Nothobranchius furzeri: one gene and its partners. The protein of the gene in region 3 binds, or shares a complex with, the protein of the main gene of each other region. Links are inferred from orthologs where the notes say so. Each region holds a gene or a part of one and is shown on either strand. Other genes may lie near its edges. The genes, in order: map3k5, pak1, dab2ipb, arhgef6 and dcp1a.

Region 1 (4,237 bases), on a different chromosome or scaffold from region 3:
CAGAATCTGCAGAAAAACTCAGAAAATCCCTGAATATGGGTTTAGCAGCAGGGACACGCATATAAATAGAACCGCATGTCCAAGGATTGCTGCATAAATCTCTAATTATATAAATCTGAGTAGAAAATTGTCTCACTGCAGTAAGCCAGCGAGTTGACGACAAGTAAAAGATGTAGATAAGAATAAAGTCCTCAGATATGTCAAATGTTTTGTTTTTCTTTTGGAGAACAGAACAAAGAAACGTGTGCATAAAACTGAAACATGAATGAACTGACTAAGACGATGGAGTCAAACTTTTGCTTCTTTATCTTGTTTTTTTTTATGGATCCGAGCCTGAAGACTTGTCCTTTTTTGTGCGCAGCATCATGTGAGGAGGCTGTTGGAGGACAACATGGAACGCCCTCTATTAGAATGTGTCAGAAGTCACAGCTCGTCCTCGGAGCTCATTGTTCTGTGCCCTCTCGTGCACATTTGCGTAGGAAAACGGATGAAGAAGTACAGCTAAAAGCAACTTTTCCGGGAAAATGCCTCGGCCCTCCCCGGTGCACCGGGAGTTCTGTAGTTCTGAGAAAGATGACAAAAGAACACGGGGAACTTATTGCACCTGGAACAGCAAGAAGCAACAAGCCCGTCAACTCGAAAAAGTAGCTAAATTTTTACGTTTCCTGCTATTCCTGCGTGAATCTCACCAGGATACAGAAACGAGCCTAGAACCTAAAAACAGCTTTAATTTACATGAAAGGGAACATTCATATTTACACCTTTTTCCTCTCTAAACACAGTTTTTTTTTAAATGGCACCAGCTTTAATTTATCTCTTGCATCTGCTCAGTTTTGACATTTAAAATGTCATTTACACCGAGGGGAACGCCGCCGCTACTTTATGACTCAAAAACAATAGTTTGTTTTAAAACTATCTAAAGAATTATTAGCCAAGCTCGCTGCAATAAAAAGTGTTTTTAATTGTGGCTTCATAATCAACACCCCAACATTATACCGCCCTGTTCTTCTTCTGCTGTGAATAATGCAGAAACACATAAGAGAACTAGACATGCATGTTTCCAATAAGCAGCTGTTATTCTATTTTTGCTGATTAAAAAAAATGTGCACATTTAAATATGGAAAAATCCCACAAGAATAGTGGAATTTATAAGAAAGAATGAGTCAATAAAGACCTATATGACTTTGAAAGTATAAATTATCCACTTATCATTTCTCCACACTTACAGGCTTATGTCATTATTGACGTTTGGATTTTCTGCTGACTGGAAGCCAGTTAGTTAATTTATCTTGAGAAATCAATTAAATTTTTTTACTGAGTCTCTAACAGCAAATCTTCCATTTTTGCATCATTCTTGGATACATTTAGCCAAACTGAAATAAATAAATGACTCAAGTGATTATTTTCTACCTCTTCAAAAGAAGAATCCTCAGATTTGTTGTAATTGTTCCAGGTAGGTGATTGCAATATTGGTCAACTGTTGCAGCAGTTGTGGCATTTCCCATCCTTAACAGACTTAATGGATTCATATATTTTGTTTTTAGAATAAAATAAATATCAGATTTTCCCCCTTTTGCCCTTCAGATAAAACTCCTGTAAGGGGAATTCTGTTGTAGGGAGAGGAGTTAAGCGTGTTTAGGCTGGGTTAGATAAAACTTCTGTTTTCTGGAATATTGAATGTGTTACTTTAATAGGATGTGTGGGTCGGAGCATTGGTTTTATCCTGGCTGTCTGCAGAAGGACCCTTGATTTTACGATGAACAACCGAGTCTGCAACGCTTTAGCATTTTATAATGCATCAGCTGCAGAGCCCCAAACTACAAATATATAAGCAAAAATACAATTAAATGCATGTATTGCATTGCAGTTGATAAAATGTTTATCAGATCATCTCTGGACTTCAGTTGAAAGTGACCCTGTGGATCTCTGAAGAAATAAAACCTCCACTTTTGTAAATGAAACAGGAAAAAACAGCCCTGAATGTTCATGTCTTCTGTTTGAGCTTAGACGACTTGCAAGCTTCATGTCCAGACATGCCGATCTGGGTGTGCGTGCGCGAGACGAACCCAGAGCAACGTGATTTACTGGAGATGAGGTGAGCACAGAGGAGATGTGACCTCAGACCCGTGCGTGACTGGAGGCCTTTAGGGACCCACAAATTTTGACTCACCTGCGTTGTAGAACCGGTCTAAAACTGTGGTCTCCCCAAAGTCCAGCCTCCCAAAGTTGACAGTGTCCAGTTTGCTGCCCACCCGGTCGCACGCGTCCTTCAGACACTGCAGGGCCATGCTCTCCGCGTTGTTCTGCGGGCTCGCCTCGCCGTTCACCACGTAAGCCACCGTCACCGGTCTGCTTTTACCGGGCTTACAGGTGGACAGCAACCCCCCGCCCTCCATTAGCTCATCCCCGGAGGTGGGACTGACCCTGCTGCCTGGGAGCAGCGGGTCCTGCCAGAAAGTCCCGGCTGCTGGGATCCCGGGAGCGCCGCCGCCTCCTCCAGCGCCGGTGCTGCTGGGATGTTCCCCGCTGACGGTCTCTCTGCCGGAACAAAAGCTGGGAACCGGGAATGAGATTCCGTCCTGGTCTAGATTCATCTCGTTTCAAGTGTCAGTTAAAGAGTTGATCGCAGTGAGCGGCTCCTCCAGCAGTCCTCCATGGAGAGGCGGCGTTACGCACGGAGCTTCTGCGCAAACACGACATGCGACTGAGCGTTTCCACGCGGGTAAACAGCCTGCTAGAGGCGGCAGGGGCGCAGCTCCGCGTCAGGCTGCATGTTTCTGTTTGATGACGCCGAAAATCAACCGAAGTCAGTCACAACAACAAAGCGAAGGAGGAGAGGAAAGCGCAGCGAAATCCGCGCCACATTCCGCCTCAGCTCGACAGATTCCTGCGCTCCTCTCTCCCACAGCACTTCTCAAAGTTAGGCAGCGGAGCAGCAACGCCCACAGGAATCACCAACGTCACAGCGAGTCGAAGTTGGAGCTGCGCTACGTCATCTTTTATAAGAGACAGAGAGAGCGTGCGCATGCACTGACAGGCGCCTCGAATTTGCGGGCACACCCTGCCCGTTTCTGCTGTTATCTCTCCGAGCAGACCCACGCACTGGGCGGGCAGACAGCTGTAGGAGCTGGGTGGAGGCTCGAAGCTGCTTCAGGACACCAGAACAAGCGCACCTTCTAAAACCCATCAAGTTTCACACCAGAGCTTCATGAAAATGTCATTTAACATTCTCCCTCTCCTGATAATAACTTTTTGCTTTCCTTGACGTTGGATGTGCTACTACTAGTTTATCCGTTTAATTATAGATCCACTAGGATACATACAATAAAGTTTATCTCTCACCAAATAGAATATTTACTAAGACATCACAATATAACTATAGACACATTACTTTGTGTGTGTGTGTGTGTGTGTGTGTGTGCGTGCGTGCGTGTGTGTGTGTGTGTGTGTGTGTGTGTGTGTGTGTGTGTGTGCGTGTGTGTGTGTGTGTGTGTGTGTGTGTGTGTGTGTGTGTGTGTGTGTGTGTGTGTGTGTGTGACTGCTCTATCTTCTCGATCCCCAGTGAGTCATAGAGGATGGCTGCTTATACTGAGCCAGGATTCTCTGAAGGTTTCTTCCTGTTAAAAGGGAGTTTTCCTCTCCACTGTTGCTGCATGCTTGCTTAGAGGATTGCTGTATAGTCACTGACACTAGTCAGTGACTTGATGCAATTTTCTGGGTTCCTTATATAGGAAACATTATTTCTGATTGGCTTAATGAACTGACCTGAATTGGAATGTTTATTATGTGAAGTGCCATGAGACGACTCTTGTCGTGATTTGGCGCTATATAAATAAAATTGAATTGAATTGAACTGAAAATAAATCTAGTCCCTTACTGTTTTCCCCCCCTCCGTTTGAAACTTTCTCTGTTGTTGCACAGCAACGTAATGCCATCGCCCAGGCCCTATTCCAGGCAGGAAGCCCATTATCAGTTCCGGCTCGTGTGTAAAACCTGTAGAGCAACTGGTTGAAACAAACACCGAATTTTCCTTTGTGGAGTGACGTCATGGTCCCCGCACAGAAGCGTCGTGCTTCAACCTTTTCCTGTCTAAGGTCGCCCTCTTGTGGTCACAATCTGACTTTACACAGAAAGATGGTCAGTTTGCGCAAAGTCCTGAATCTAGGAGTGATGAGATGAAACGTAATTAATAACTAAATCCCTCTTTGCCAGGAACTCCATTCTAATGCAGCCATTG
Region 2 (3,518 bases), on a different chromosome or scaffold from region 3:
CACCCGTACAGGTCTGTAGACACACCCGTACAGGTCTGTAGACACACCCGTACAGGTCTGTAGACACACCCGTACAGGTCTGTAGACACACCCGTACAGGTCTGTAGACACACCCGTACAGGTCTGTAGACACACCCGTACAGGTCTGTAGACACACCCGTACAGGTCTGTAGATACACCCGTACAGGTCTGTAGATACACCCGTACAGGTCTGTAGATACACCCGTACAGGTCTGTAGATACACCCGTACAGGTCTGTAGACACACCCGTACAGGTCTGTAGATACAACCGAACAGATCTGTAGATACAACCGTACAGGTCTGTAGACACACCCGTACAGGTCTGTAGATACACCCGTACAGGTCTGTAGATACAACCAAACAGATCTGTAGATACAACCGTACAGGTCTGTAGATACCCGTACAGGTCTGTAGATACACCCGTACAGGTCTGTAGATACACCCGTACAGGTCTGTAGATACACCCGTACAGGTCTGTAGACACACCCGTACAGGTCTGTAGATACAACCGAACAGATCTGTAGATACAACCGTACAGGTCTGTAGATACAACCGAACAGATCTGTAGATACAACCGTACAGGTCTGTAGATACAACCGTACAGGTCTGTAGACACACCCGTACAGGTCTGTAGATACAACCGAACAGATCTGTAGATACAACCGTACAGGTCTGTAGACACACCCGTACAGGTCTGTAGATACAACCGTACAGGTCTGTAGATACACCCGTACAGGTCTGTAGACACACCCGTACAGGTCTGTAGACACACCCGTACAGGTCTGTAGATAGCGACTTGGTCCCAGTTTTTCATTTCGGCCCAGTGTGAGTTTGAGTTCGACACCCCTGCAATGCGCATACAAAGGAAGTGATAACCACCCAGGAACTAGCACGTACAACGACGGCCTTGCGGGAATGGTTCACCAGAATGATTGACAGTTAAATGGACCAATGGTTCAGATGATCCACCTGGAAAAAAATATCCTCCGCCACACCTTTAAATATAGTTTTTGTTCTTCACTAAATGATACAGGTGTGTGTGTGTGTGTGTGTGTGTGTGTGTGTGTGTGTGTGTGTGTGTGTGTGTGTGTGTGTGTGTGTGTGTGTGTGTGTCTGTGTGTGTCTGTGTGTGTGTGTGTGTATCTTATATTATGGGAGACAAACATCTGGGTAAGTCTTACCGATTTGGTGTGTTCAGGACGGGGGGCAATCACCGGTGGAGGCTGCGCCTCGTCTTCATCTTCTTCCTCGGACACTGTTGCTATGGCAGGTGTCTCCGACACAGCTTTGGAGCTCTGCGTGATGTCACATAGAGAGGAGGCGGAGTCTCAGTGACTTTATGGTTACATGAGCAATCATTAAAACCAGATCCATCCTTCCTTCTTGTTGTCACTGCTGATTCCTAATCTCGTCACAGACGTTCTCCTTCATCTTTTGCTGCTGGGCTTCACCTCCCTCTCCTCCTGCTAGTGCCTGAACTCTAGTCAGCTTGAGCTCCTGATGCCACTCCTCACACAACCTATTCCTCCATCTTTGATTTTCTTCTGCTGCAGAGTTGGCAAAGGAGACCAAGATGCTGATTCACAATGCAGCTCATAACTGCCTCCTTGGTGTTAAGTTTAAGGACATCTGGTTGGCTAATTTTAAAAATCAGTTCTCCAGCACAGAAAGCTGTTATTTGAGCTCCTGAGATGAATCAAAAGCAGAATTAAATCTGTTTTGCCTTTTGGAGATTTTCACCTCATCTCCACTAATGGTATAGGATCTGCTGTAAGGGATCCGAGTTGTGGACATTAAAGTGTTTATTATGGTATTTGTTGTTGAGATGGGGGATGTTTGTCACAAAATAAAATAAATGAAATGATTATTATTAGCAGTAAAGCATTCTTGTAATACTTGAGGTCTGAAACCATAAATGAGCCGCAGCACTTAAATTTTAGTCCCGTCATCTCATCCATCCATCCTCGGCTGCTTATCCGGGGTCTGGTCACGGGGCCGGAAGCCAATGCAGGGAGGCCCAGACGTCCTTCTCCCCAGCTTGTAGGGACCTCTGGGTGGATCTCATTCACCCCCGGAGCCTTGCCACTGAGGAGCTTTTCGACAACCTCATTGACCTCAGCACCAGAGATTTGAGAGCCCAACCCAAAGTCCACAAACATTGCTTCCTCACTGGAAGACGTGCCAGTGGGATTGAGTAAGTCTTCTAAGTATTCTGCCCACCGATCCACAACATCTGATTCGAGGTCAGCAGCACACGGTCCCCACTATAAACTGTGTTGGTAGAGCAGTGTGTCGCGGAGGCAGCAGCCTAACCAGAGAGGCCCAGACTTTCCTCTCACCAGCCACTTGGGCTAGTTCCTCCAGGAGAATCCTGAGGCGTTCCCTGGCCAGCTGAGAGACAGTCAATCCAGCATGTCCTGGGTCTTCCTTTAGTCTTCTCCTGGTTGGAATTGCCCGGAAAACCTCACCAAGGAGGAATCCCACCTAGATGCCTGAGCCACCTCAACTGGCTCATCTCTATGAGGAGGAGCAGTGGGTCTACTCCGAATCTGCATCACTGCAGATGCAGCACCAATCCACCTATCGATCTCCACTCCAGCTTTCCCTCACTGGTGAACAAGACCCCGAGATACTTGAACTCCTCCACTTGGGGCAGGACCTCATCTCTGACCCGGAGAAGGCATTCTACCCTTTTCTGACTGTTACGATCTCTGGGTTTTCCCTCCAGCCAGCACCATCAGGATTAGCTCTCTTCCCTCAGAGCTCAGCTGCAAGTCATCTGCAATCACCCAGCTGCAGCATGAAGTCTACCCCTTCAGGAGGAGAAAAAGGGGAGACAGACTGGAGGCTGAGAGAGAGAGGGACTTTTGGCTTAATTTAGGCGCCAGTGGCGACTTGGGTTGGCTGGATTTATTTACAGAGCTGTTTTGTAAAGTGCTCTTCAGTAAGCGGAGTCAGGTGGGGCGCTTTCTTTTGTTACTCTGTCCAGCTCTTATTGTAAGATCCTGAGATTTCTTCCTCCTGGGCAAGGCAAGCTTAAGTTTTGTTTTGAGACAGAGGTAGTAGGTAACTTTAAATAGTAACTCACTTGACAGTCATATTAGTTTGATTTATTTCCTTACAGGTGGTTGTTTTGGTTTCGTCTCCCGTTGGGATGCCTTTTGTTAACAAACCGTTTAAGATGATTGGTTTGGGTCTTGGTCTGTTTGATCCACCTTTTTGTGTTAACCCTCCCACGGTTTCCTAGACCTGGTTGGGGTTGTAACACCGCTAGGGATGGGTACCTTTGACATTTGAATCAATCCGGTACTAATTCCCGGTACCTAGGAATCGATACCGGTACCTAACGGTACCAATTTTCGATACTTTTGAGTGTTTATTATTTTAATTCTCTTTTGTAATTAAATATATTTTTTTTTCAATTTATAACCACATTTGATAAATATCACGATAAATAACATACAACTGTTTGTATTTTAACATCGTCCTTGTAGTTT
Region 3 (3,518 bases):
CTCAGCTCTACGTCACATTCATTAGCATTCATGGTTGCGTTTCTGTTAGCCTACCAGAGGTGAGATGTTTGCATATCTAGAACATTAACGATCAAGACACCAAATCCTGTCATTTTCTGCCCTCGCTCCAGCTAACTTCTACTTCCTGTTACAGGAGCACCGGAGCTTTTTTTCCACAGAGAACAAGTAACAAATGAAAATCAAAAAATTAGAATGTCAGCAAAAAGTTCATTTATTTCAGGAAAAGGGGCCCAAACCAAGCAAAATCCTTGTTTTATTGATTTTATGTACTATTCTAATTGAGATTTTGGATGTGGGGTTTTCATAAGCTGTAAACCATTATCATCCAGTTATAACAAGTAAAGGCTTGAAATAGCAGGCTCTTCATCTAATGAGAATGTCTCATATATTTGTTTCACTTTTAAGTTGAATTACTGACATGAATGAACTTTTGCATCATATTCTAATGTTTCACCTGGATAGTAGAGACCACGCCAAACCAACATCACCAGACGTTATCGTTTTGATTGTGTTTGCAGGAGAAGCGAATAGCATCTCTGGATGCGGCCAACGCTCGTCTGATGAGCGCCCTGACTCAGCTGAAGGAGCGCTACAGCATGCAGACCCGCAACGGCATCTCCCCCACCAACCCCACCAAGCTGCAGATCACGGAGAACGGAGAATTCAGAAACAGCAGCAACTGCTGAACAGAGCTGACCTCGAGTGTGTGCTGAGTGTGTACAGTTTATCTGGCGAGAGGACGCGTCTCCCCGCCTGCACGAGAGACTGAGACCGCGTGGGCGTGCGCTCACAGCAGACAGTACTTCCGGAAAGACTTTTTAAGAGATGGTGTAGGGGAGTAATGGGCATTTTTCCAGAGGAGGGTGACCTTCATCATGAGGGCAAGTGGAGGGGCGGAGCTTGTATATAAGAACTCACGGCTGTCCATCAGGCAGACTCCGACGATACGTGGTCACCGGGGCGAACCACTATTTAACCACACACACACACACACACACGCACAGCCAGGACCACCAAAAATGGTCGCCCTAGCAACCATCCTCTCCTCCTTTTTTATCCCTCTCCTTCTTGATAACAAAGTGGAGCCATTAACACCAACAAGATTGCAGATTTTCACTTTAGCCGTCTCGAGAGGTTCGCGTTTTAAAGCTTTACTTTGAAGTGTTTCAAAAGAACCAAATATGAGCTAAAAATAGATCATTTTAGTCCAAAACAATCTTCTTTGCTTCCCTTTGAACTTGTGGGTGTGTTCCTGAATGTCCCGCCGACCCCATGCAATGCACTTTGCAAGAAGCTATTGGTACGTAAAAGGCCTTAACTAAGGAACACACGTCCACCTCACCCCTCAGCTCACCTCGTTTCTGCAAAAAACCAACTAAAAGGCACAACTTATACTGTGGATTTGTAAAGAATACAAAACTAAACTGCAAACATTTAGATGTATAATAAAATCAGAAGTAAATGTAGTACTATATTAATGAAATTTAATATAGATGTATGCATTGTTTTCTTCTATAGAGTATACACACATATATTTGATAAACTGACAGATTAAAGAGCCCATTATTTACGAGTTTTCGTCTATGGCGAGATTGTGGCGTGCAGCTCACATCGGAGCGCTGGAGGTGGGGACGACACTGAGCAGTGATAGAAATATCCACGCCGCACCGTATCTGCAGGAGTTTCAAAAAATGATGCAAAGTTTGCAGTGAAACAGATCAAGAGTCACGGTTTCGTCTCTGTTTTTCTCTCTGCACTGGAGCTGTTGAAGGTGCATTGAGATGCGCTCACTCACGCTCTACTCTGGACCAGTGAGCCATCGCTATGGCCGCCATTAGTTCCATCCCCTCTCCCAACTGCTTTAATTGTCCGTGGTGATGAAGTAGGCAAACTGTGACGATCCTTGTAGCAACACCTAACTCATCCGGATTTCTTTCTCTCGCCTTGTTTCTATCTTTCTATCCTGCAATCTTACAGTTGGTCCTAAAGTCGTCACTCTTCCATCTCGCCATGTGTGATTTGTATGTTTGCTTCAGGGAAGAAATAAGAACACAGACTTTAAACATGAGGCAGGAGGCTCTGCATGCTTCATCTTTGCTTGACAGCCGAGCGTAGCGTCAGTACAGGTTGTTTTCCTGGGTCGCCAGTCAGACGGTGATGATGAATGCTTGCAAATGCAAAAAATTATATATATATATAATTATATATGTAATTATATGTATGTATATATATAATTTTATATTTATATATATACAATTTTATATATATATATATATGTATATATAAAATTTATATATATATATACATAAATTGTATATATATATAATTTTTTAAATATATATATATATATATATATATATATATATATATATATATATATATGGTTGAGTCCGTCTATAGACAGGGAAGCCCCGAAAAGTGTAAATAAAATGCTAGCACTATTTTTAGCAGATGTTAACAGCTTTTTGTAAATGCATCTTGTGCTGAGACTCTACTGTATCATTATCGATATTGTAAATATGAACTAGCCCTGTCAGTCATCGGTCCTCATTGGGTAGAACTACACAATTCAATTATCCTGTCAGTGTTTACTCTGTTAACGCTTTTGTGTTCCTATTTACGTTATATTATCACTAGCCAAAAAAAGAAGAACGAAAACAACAGAAAACAAAACTGATGACGTAGAAGTTCGACTCCAGAGATGTTTGCCTTGCTGGTTTCAGGCCAAGTCGAGTCCGATGAGAAACGCAAGCACAATCCTGTAATTCTCATCCGTCTAGCACTTTTACATTGACTCGTCGGGTTTTTATAACTTCTATTTAGTCGTATTATTTTTAATCATGAGCCTGTTTTATGTTTTTAAAATGTGCCAAGGTTCAACATTGACTGAATAAATGTAAAGGTTGTGCATTCGTTTTCACATCGGATGATGAATTTCTCTTTTTCAAACAGAACCAAAATGTTTCACAAGAAATCAGAACATTCCTAACCATGCCTCTGATCCAGTCTTATAGGTTACCTTCTCAGATGAAAGCCAGACGATGAGACGTGAAAAAAAACTAATTCGTTTACTTCTGTTGTTTTACCCGCATGTTTATGGACTACATTAAATATGGTTTACAAGTCCATAGTAATACAAAAATATAAATTGACAATAACCAGTGATGATTTGTTGACATTTTTATGCACACTGTAAATAAACTACAGGCCCTATACTGAAAGTCATTGTTTTAATATTGCTTCCATAGGAAATCTTCCCCCACCTCCCGCAAATTATAAATCAGCCCACATCCTTCAGATTTTCCTTTTCTTTTAGTAAACATAGAAATCCTCCTGCTAAGATACACAGAGCATGCTTTTTCTCAGTTTCCATCCTTTTTTTTATTTTTTATTAAAGTACCTTTACTTGGGCAATTCTGTTAGCATTTTAGCTCAAATAGTTTAATATTTTACTTAAAGGTACAATGAATAAGAATTCTACTGTGAAATAATGTCTA
Region 4 (2,878 bases), on a different chromosome or scaffold from region 3:
TGTAATATATATTTTTGCCACCAGAAGGCACAAGAATGCCACTGTCAAAACCACAGAAGAAGAGCTTGTCACATGATCAAATAAATTTACTCAAAAATTAAGCGTTTAGGAAAGTGCACAGCGTGGGAGCATTCTTTATGTGGTAGTTAACAAAATGAGGCCGACATCAAAGCGTTGAGCCTGGAAAAACATGGAAATAAAGCTGTGCAGCAAAATGAAACAAGGCTCCTGCGTTTGTGACAGCTTGGTGTCTGCCTCCTGTAGTTTGGAAACTTTGGTGTAATTAGTTCAATGTAAGGAAACTCAAGTGTTTTTTTAAATGTGTAGCCTCCACAATGCTCTATAAGCAGTGCTGTAATGCCGGACGGCCCATTACACAACATGTCCTGGTGGACATTTCAGCTCTCATCCCACTAACGTTGTTTTTAGTTTATGAATGTTTTAACAGGCGTGGGACTTTGGTTCTGTGTCTGAGTGATGTTAAAAGAGTAGGAGGAAAAGCGTTAGTTTTATTTATATTTTATATTTTTTTCTCTGTGTGCGTGCGCAGGAGGGGGGCTGGAGAGGGAGTTTACGGTTAACAAAGAATTAACCACTTAATGGCTTCAATAATCGGTTAAATACATTTTGGAAAATGTGCAGAGAGGCTTTGATATCTAGGGGGAGCTTGGAGGAGAACCGCTGCTCCTCCAGTAGCAGCTCTCTTTTGCATGTGAGAGGTGGTTTGTTTTTCCCCATTTGTGACATCACAAACTAGGACTTTTTCAAATGAGTCATTTCAGGCACATAATTTCCTAAATAAACACGGTCAAAAAAAGAGATATTTGTTCTTTGTTTCTGTCTGTTACTGCCCCTTAGCATCCAAGAGATATAAGGAGGAGAGCTTAGACGGGTGCGACTTTTTATTTGCGTCAGGCTGTAGATGCATACGTCTCATTCCCAGAATCGCACCGAGCACCTGATGCCAAACACTGTGCAAACACAGTGAAAACTGAAAATACATAATTTACAAATTAAAGACAGTTGCTGACAAACATCAGGAGCAACAAACAGAAACAAAGAACAAATACCTTGCTCCTCTTGCCATGGGGTGCAATCAAAGTAATGTCACGCAGAGGCTTGGCACGGCAAGACCATAGACTAAATGTACAAAGCATTTGGTAGGGCGACACGTTCTTATTTAATCAATTTTAATCAGAATGCCCTCACTAACGTGGAGGTTTGGTCTGCTGCAACACGTCAAGCCAGGTGGAATGCCAACGCCACGTCCACATCCGGGTTAACGCCCATTTATATACAATTGAGTGAGTGACGTTGACAATCCACCTACTTGCAGCCATTTACAAGATGGATGGGTTTTTATTACATTTAGAGTGTTTATAGAGGCAGCAGAGACCCACATGGCAGCCAAAGGCGAGTTTTGAATAATGTCCCTTGTAAACTGCGTCAGAACTTTCAACCGTGACATTAAAAATATAAGGTGGTCTGGCTGGTGTCTGTAACCCTAGAACGTGACCCGAGTAGTTTATTTTTTATTTTTTTTTTTAGCCTGGAAAGAGTATTTTCTTCTGTAGCACCAGGGTCTCTGGGCTTAAGAGGAATCTTACATCGTATTGACAGCCTGGACACCTTTAAAAAGCAGCTGTAGACCCTTTTATTTAGACCTGCTTTTACCTAAATCTACTGTGTTTTTGTTCTTTTTTTACTTGAATTAATAATCATCTTTCACTTGATTTATATTTACGATCATTTAGTAACGTCATGAATTTGTTTTCCTGATTTTAATTTATTTAAGATCATTATGATGTTATGACCTTGTGATTTTTTTAAATCTATGTGAATCACTTTGGGATTTTCTTTCAGTGATGAGTGCTATGTAAATAAAAATGTCTTACTTACATTATTCATTAAATACAGCTCTTTTTCATACACTCTGCAGGAGAACAAATGGATGAAGCAGTTCCTGGAGGAGGAGCAGAAGTCTCGCAAAGAGCTGGAGAGGCTAGTCCGAAAACTGTCCAAGCAGAAGAACGACAGCTCTTGGGAGGACAGCGGCCACTGAACGCGTCCTGGTTTCATGGTGCTACGTGTGGGCTGACCTGCACTGGGACAAGCGTTTGTGTGTTTATTTGTGCATCTTTGTCGTGTCTTCACATTTCAGTCTCACGCAGCAGAATCAGACTCTCAAACCTTGGAGTTTCTTTCTTCATTATGATGATGAGATCCGTCTTCCTGATCCAGCGTCACTAAATGAGACAAACAAAAACAAGCTTCCTTGTATGTAGCTGGGCTCCACCACCATGTTTCCAAATCTCCTGCCACATGGTGACTCGCTCCGTAAACTCCACCCAGCAAACGGGCCAGTGTTGGACAAGAAGAAACAAGACAACAACAAAAAAACACCCAGACTGCTTTATTTGTGTGTTCAGTTGGAAAAATGAAAGGAGTACAAAGCCATCAAGCCTTCTCTTGCATGCACTTCTTTCTAAAACAGAACTCATGACTTTGTCACTGTCAGTTTTTATTTATCCATAAAGGCCTGGGATCTTTTTTAAACCGTTTAGATGATTGTTGCCTTGTGTTCAAGACATTTTTGTAGGCATGTCAAACAAGTGAGCTCACCACGGTGAACAGTCTCAAATGTCTCCGCTGACTGTTTATTTTAAAAAAACTGCATCAATCTACAGTGTTACTATGAATTTTGCGTCAGAAATGTGATCCTTTTATTCAGATATGGACTTCAAAGCTTCCAGGGCATCAACACATAGGAAAAACTTAACTGTGCACTATTTATTAGTACAAAAGGTAATTTACTCTTATATATATATATACAAGAATAATTGTAACCCAAAATATTCAGCTTTTCTTTATTTTGGAT
Region 5 (4,260 bases), on a different chromosome or scaffold from region 3:
CTGGACTTACCCCTCAGGTGTCTGCCCCTGATAATAAACCGCATTCTGTCACCTGTTCCTTCTTCGAGGCCTCATAGCGCCGATCTGTGTGTTCATTCTACGGCGATTCGTGAGGGAATGGGTGGTTTGGAGCTCTGATGGAATGATAGTGATTGGATTACCTGCATTCAGGGTAAAACAGATTCACGGTAGTGCGTAATCCTTAGATTATAATCCCCGTTCCCTAAGCATGAGAGATAGCTGCATGCACCAAAGCTAGGGTCAAATAATAAACATGATTTTTTAAATAGAATTTTCAGACACTTTCATTCACTTATTAGCAGTTTAGGATTTGAATAAAAGGAAAATCTAACTTTGACTTCATAACAAGGAAAATAATGCAAGTTCTTCTCAAATAGGTCTGAGTAATAAATCTGAAATTATAAACTGCATTCATAAAACCATGTCAGGCGTTGTGAAATATTGTTCTGTTTTTGCTTTCATTTTCTTTCAAGATTAACAAAATATATACCAAACAACTTGGGTAAATAAAATGATCAACAATAGAAATTTTAGGCGTAAAAACACAAGTTAAAATGAAAAAAACCATTGTGATGTGTACATATTTCCATGAAACTTGAGGTAGGAAACATATTAGGCTACATGAAATTAACATTATAATTGCAGGCTTTTGCATTGCAAATAGCTACTGAACTCAATTTTAATAATAAATAACTCCAAATTTTGATCATCCAATGAATGAGGTGTGAACAAGTTGTTAAAATAGGTATCTATTTCCGTGTTTTTCTGCTTCACAGTTTGTTGCACATTGCTAAATATTATTTTGGTGGAAATTAAATATGTGGGTTAAAAGTTTATTATCATTTTTATATTTTAAGAAACCTGCAATCACATGAAACTTTCTTAACCCTCTGGAGGCAGGCGCTGCAGATTTGCAACAGTTAAAACCTACCTAACTGGTTACTCCACATACGTATTTCATGAGCATTTTTTTAACTCAGATGTATCCCTGAAAGACTTAGTTGTTTGTTCCTTTATCAAAACTTATTTTGAGCCTGAGAGGGTTAAATGCCTAGAGTATACACATTACATGTATTCCCTTAATTTGAACTGGCTTGCATAAAAGTCCAAAAAAGTTTGAAACTTGTTTTTCTAATATCTCAAAGGATGACATTATGTGTAGGAAATAAGCTTCAACTTCAGTTGGCAAACTACCTTTTCAAACTATGTTCACATTGTTGTGGGTTTGGTTTCAGACATATTTTTTCTGCATTTTCTCTCAGAATTTGCAATTACATTGTTTTTATTATTATTATTATTATTATTATTATTATTATTATTATTATTATTATTATTATTATTCCCCGCGGAATTAAAAAAACTCCTCTGGGGAACCTTTTCAGTGGTGGGATTTCCGTAAATACCGGAAGTTATAGGTGTTTGCAAAAATTCGTCCGTGCGGCAGAAAATCATAAGCAAAGATGGCGATTAATGCTGGACATCTGATGAGTTTAGCTGCTTTGCAGAGACACGATCCATACATTAACAAACTGCTCGATGTTACCGGTCAGGTTGCTCTTTACAACTTCAATTCAAAAGCAAACGAATGGGTAAGTAAGAGAATTTACCCTGGAAAAGTTTCGGGAAATATTTGGTGGAGAGCCAACAAAGCTAGCTTCACACTTAGCTTCTGAGCTTTGATTCAAAACAGAAAATATTGTTGTTGTTTTTTTTTTGGGGGGGGGGGTTGTTTGTTTGTTTGTTTTGTTTTTTAAGTAAATGTCTTTATTTGTTTAGTTAATTAAGATAGCGTTGTCTAGTATGTTGTTTTAACGCGAACACAATTAATGCATCTTAGGTACTTTCTAATTGTAAAATTTAACGCCTTATTAGCTTTCAGTTAGCTTATCACCCTCGCTAAATTTATTTAGCTAGTTTGGATTTGCGGTTTCTAGGTTTGAGTCGTTATCTCTATTTGTTCCAGGAGAAAACCGAAGTTGAGGGAACCCTGTTTGTTTATGCAAGGTAAGAATACCTGAGAGCCACGATGGTTGTTCCGCCGTCTGCGCACGTGAGGCCTTGAAATTTGTAAACAAAGATAAAGTGGACTCTGTGATTCAGTAAATCGAACGTAAATTACAGTGTTTAGAGATTGAAACTGAAATATTATGTTATAACGTTGTAATAAACTTTATTTTTAATCAGTTAAAGCATGAAGAACTAAAACGACCACCTACAAACTTTAGTTATAAGGAAATATAATAGACTTTATTAATTTTGTGGGTAAATTCACTCGTTACAGAAGCACATACACTTAGAGAATAGAAGAAGAAAAATAACAAAAGTACCAGTAAATACACAAAGGCAAATCTTTCTGTTAAAAAAATAAACAGGACACGAATTTGTTGTAGGTTACTTTGAATTGGACTGGGAGCTACTTAAATCAATAGTAAAGTTAACTGCTATCCTTTATATTAATTACTAGCACAGTAAACAGCTCCTGCTTTTTAGCAGGTAGAGACCTCCCACACTTGTGCCGACCCAAACCATAAAACTGTTAAATGTAGTTTCTGGTCAGCAGAGGGCTACTGAGTGCTGTCCCATGTGAAGATGTTCAACTTTATGGCTGAAGAACCACTGAAACCAGTTTGAAGGCAATAGCTTAAAGTGTCGAAAACTCTTTAGTATTGCTTTAAATGGTCAATTAAAAACAATCAAATGTGGAGTAAATATTGTACCCAAAGCAATGTGAAGTGCAATTAAGGAGGTAATGTTTTTCCTGGGTCCTTATGAAGGTCTGCCTCCCCTCACCATGGCTTCACCATTATGAATCGACTGAGTGCACAGAACCTTGTTGAGCCCATAAATAAAGACCTGGAGTTCCAGCTGCAGGATCCTTTCTTGCTCTACAGAAATGGAAACTGTGAGTGTTTTGAAGGAAATGAAACACTAAAGAAGTATTTTTGAAATATGTTATTTTTTCTGTTGTATTTTGGTGTGTTTGTGGTTTTGTTTCAAGGTGACTTAACATTAAGGACTTGTTTCCAGCACAGAAAAAGTGTTTAATAAATCTGTAAACATGTTTAATGACTTCTGAACCAAAATGAAAATACATTTCCTCCTAGTATAATAGCTTATTATTATTGTTGCTTTGTTAAATTCTGTTAGTCACAAAATGCTCATTATTTAATAGAAATTTCTGCAATTTTGGCATTTTCATAATTTTCCTATTTGAAGCATTAGTGATATCTTCACTTTTACATACAAATGTGTGTATTAATTATATTAACTAGCACAAACACTATTATGATCCTTAATTATATTAACTAGCATAAACACTATTATGATCCTTAATTATATTAACTAGCATAAACACTATTATGATCCTTAATTATATTAACTAGCATAAACACTATTATGATCCTACCTGTGAAAACAATAGACAGATATCTCCCCAGCGTTCGATGGAACACCTCTCTTCCATATTGCTTGAAGTCATTGTGACGTCTTGCAGCATCAAGCAGGAACACTTTAGCACTCATGGCCCAAAATGGCCAAACAGCAACTTCAGCTTTGCTAGTGAACAGTTATCTTTCTGCATTTGGGCAACCGTCTCAGAGTTAAGTCTCTGATTGGTGAATCCGACCACTAAGTTAATCCAGCGATGTCCTCCAGCCTTGTGACAGAGCAGTGTAACAAAAAGGCCGCAAAGTTTCTCAAATCTTCAAAAAGTAGCTGACTGCGCTGCCTCCAAGGTAATCTATTAGAAGTCTGAAGAGAAGCTTCATCAGGGCAACGAACAAGGAGTTAGAATGCTTTCCCATTTGTTTGCTTATAAGGAAAAACAGCATAGCCAGGGTCAAAGTTAGAGTCGACGGCTCCCCTTTTGGAGTTGGTTTGCACATCAGCCTGGCTGGGATCGAGGACATGATGAGGTTGGTATCCCAGTAAAACCAGCTTCTCGGATAACTTTACTTTAGCATGTGTGCTAATATTGTTGTTTGGTGGAGTTGCAGGAAGATAATCTTCAGGTTTCTCCCTGGCAGCAGACAGTCCCTCGCACACACACAGTCCACTAGATCTCAGTGTGCTGACTCGTTCTGTAGCCTGTTGCTGTAAAGGTGTGGCTGTATGAGTTTAGATTTCCCAGCTGTGATCCTGAAAGCGAGAGTAGTAGAAGAAACGATGAAGACTGAGCTGGCATAAAAGCAGGATCAAATAAAGAGCACAGGTTAGACACAAGTACGGTTAAATCTTCAG

Evidence for each region.
Region 1: dab2ipb (region 3) and map3k5 share a complex: the UniProt entries of both Homo sapiens proteins name them as parts of the cytoplasmic complex. The link is inferred for Nothobranchius furzeri from reciprocal best matches to the Homo sapiens genes DAB2IP and MAP3K5.
Region 2: dab2ipb (region 3) and pak1 share a complex: the UniProt entries of both Homo sapiens proteins name them as parts of the cytoplasmic complex. The link is inferred for Nothobranchius furzeri from reciprocal best matches to the Homo sapiens genes DAB2IP and PAK1.
Region 4: dab2ipb (region 3) and arhgef6 share a complex: the UniProt entries of both Homo sapiens proteins name them as parts of the cytoplasmic complex. The link is inferred for Nothobranchius furzeri from reciprocal best matches to the Homo sapiens genes DAB2IP and ARHGEF6.
Region 5: dab2ipb (region 3) and dcp1a share a complex: the UniProt entries of both Homo sapiens proteins name them as parts of the cytoplasmic complex. The link is inferred for Nothobranchius furzeri from reciprocal best matches to the Homo sapiens genes DAB2IP and DCP1A.

The regions. Positions count from the first base shown.
Region 1 is NC_091742.1:11,510,401-11,514,637, forward strand, and holds the start of map3k5 (mitogen-activated protein kinase kinase kinase 5), read right to left. Parts: upstream 2,807-4,237; 5' UTR 2,595-2,806; coding exon 2,171-2,594; intron 1-2,170. UniProt on the Homo sapiens protein: Serine/threonine kinase which acts as an essential component of the MAP kinase signal transduction pathway. Plays an important role in the cascades of cellular responses evoked by changes in the environment.
Region 2 is NC_091753.1:60,604,103-60,607,620, reverse strand, and holds part of pak1 (serine/threonine-protein kinase PAK 1), read right to left. Parts: intron 1,317-3,518; coding exon 1,203-1,316; intron 1-1,202. UniProt on the Homo sapiens protein: Protein kinase involved in intracellular signaling pathways downstream of integrins and receptor-type kinases that plays an important role in cytoskeleton dynamics, in cell adhesion, migration, proliferation, apoptosis, mitosis, and in vesicle-mediated transport processes.
Region 3 is NC_091746.1:68,262,765-68,266,282, forward strand, and holds part of dab2ipb (disabled homolog 2-interacting protein), read left to right. Parts: intron 1-539; coding exon 540-707; 3' UTR 708-3,518. UniProt on the Homo sapiens protein: Functions as a scaffold protein implicated in the regulation of a large spectrum of both general and specialized signaling pathways.
Region 4 is NC_091741.1:83,114,466-83,117,343, reverse strand, and holds the end of arhgef6 (rho guanine nucleotide exchange factor 6), read left to right. Parts: intron 1-1,939; coding exon 1,940-2,062; 3' UTR 2,063-2,377; downstream 2,378-2,878. UniProt on the Homo sapiens protein: Acts as a RAC1 guanine nucleotide exchange factor (GEF).
Region 5 is NC_091755.1:32,995,940-33,000,199, reverse strand, and holds the start of dcp1a (mRNA-decapping enzyme 1A), read left to right. Parts: upstream 1-1,442; 5' UTR 1,443-1,481; coding exon 1,482-1,610; intron 1,611-1,984; coding exon 1,985-2,025; intron 2,026-2,795; coding exon 2,796-2,923; intron 2,924-4,260. UniProt on the Homo sapiens protein: Necessary for the degradation of mRNAs, both in normal mRNA turnover and in nonsense-mediated mRNA decay. Removes the 7-methyl guanine cap structure from mRNA molecules, yielding a 5'-phosphorylated mRNA fragment and 7m-GDP.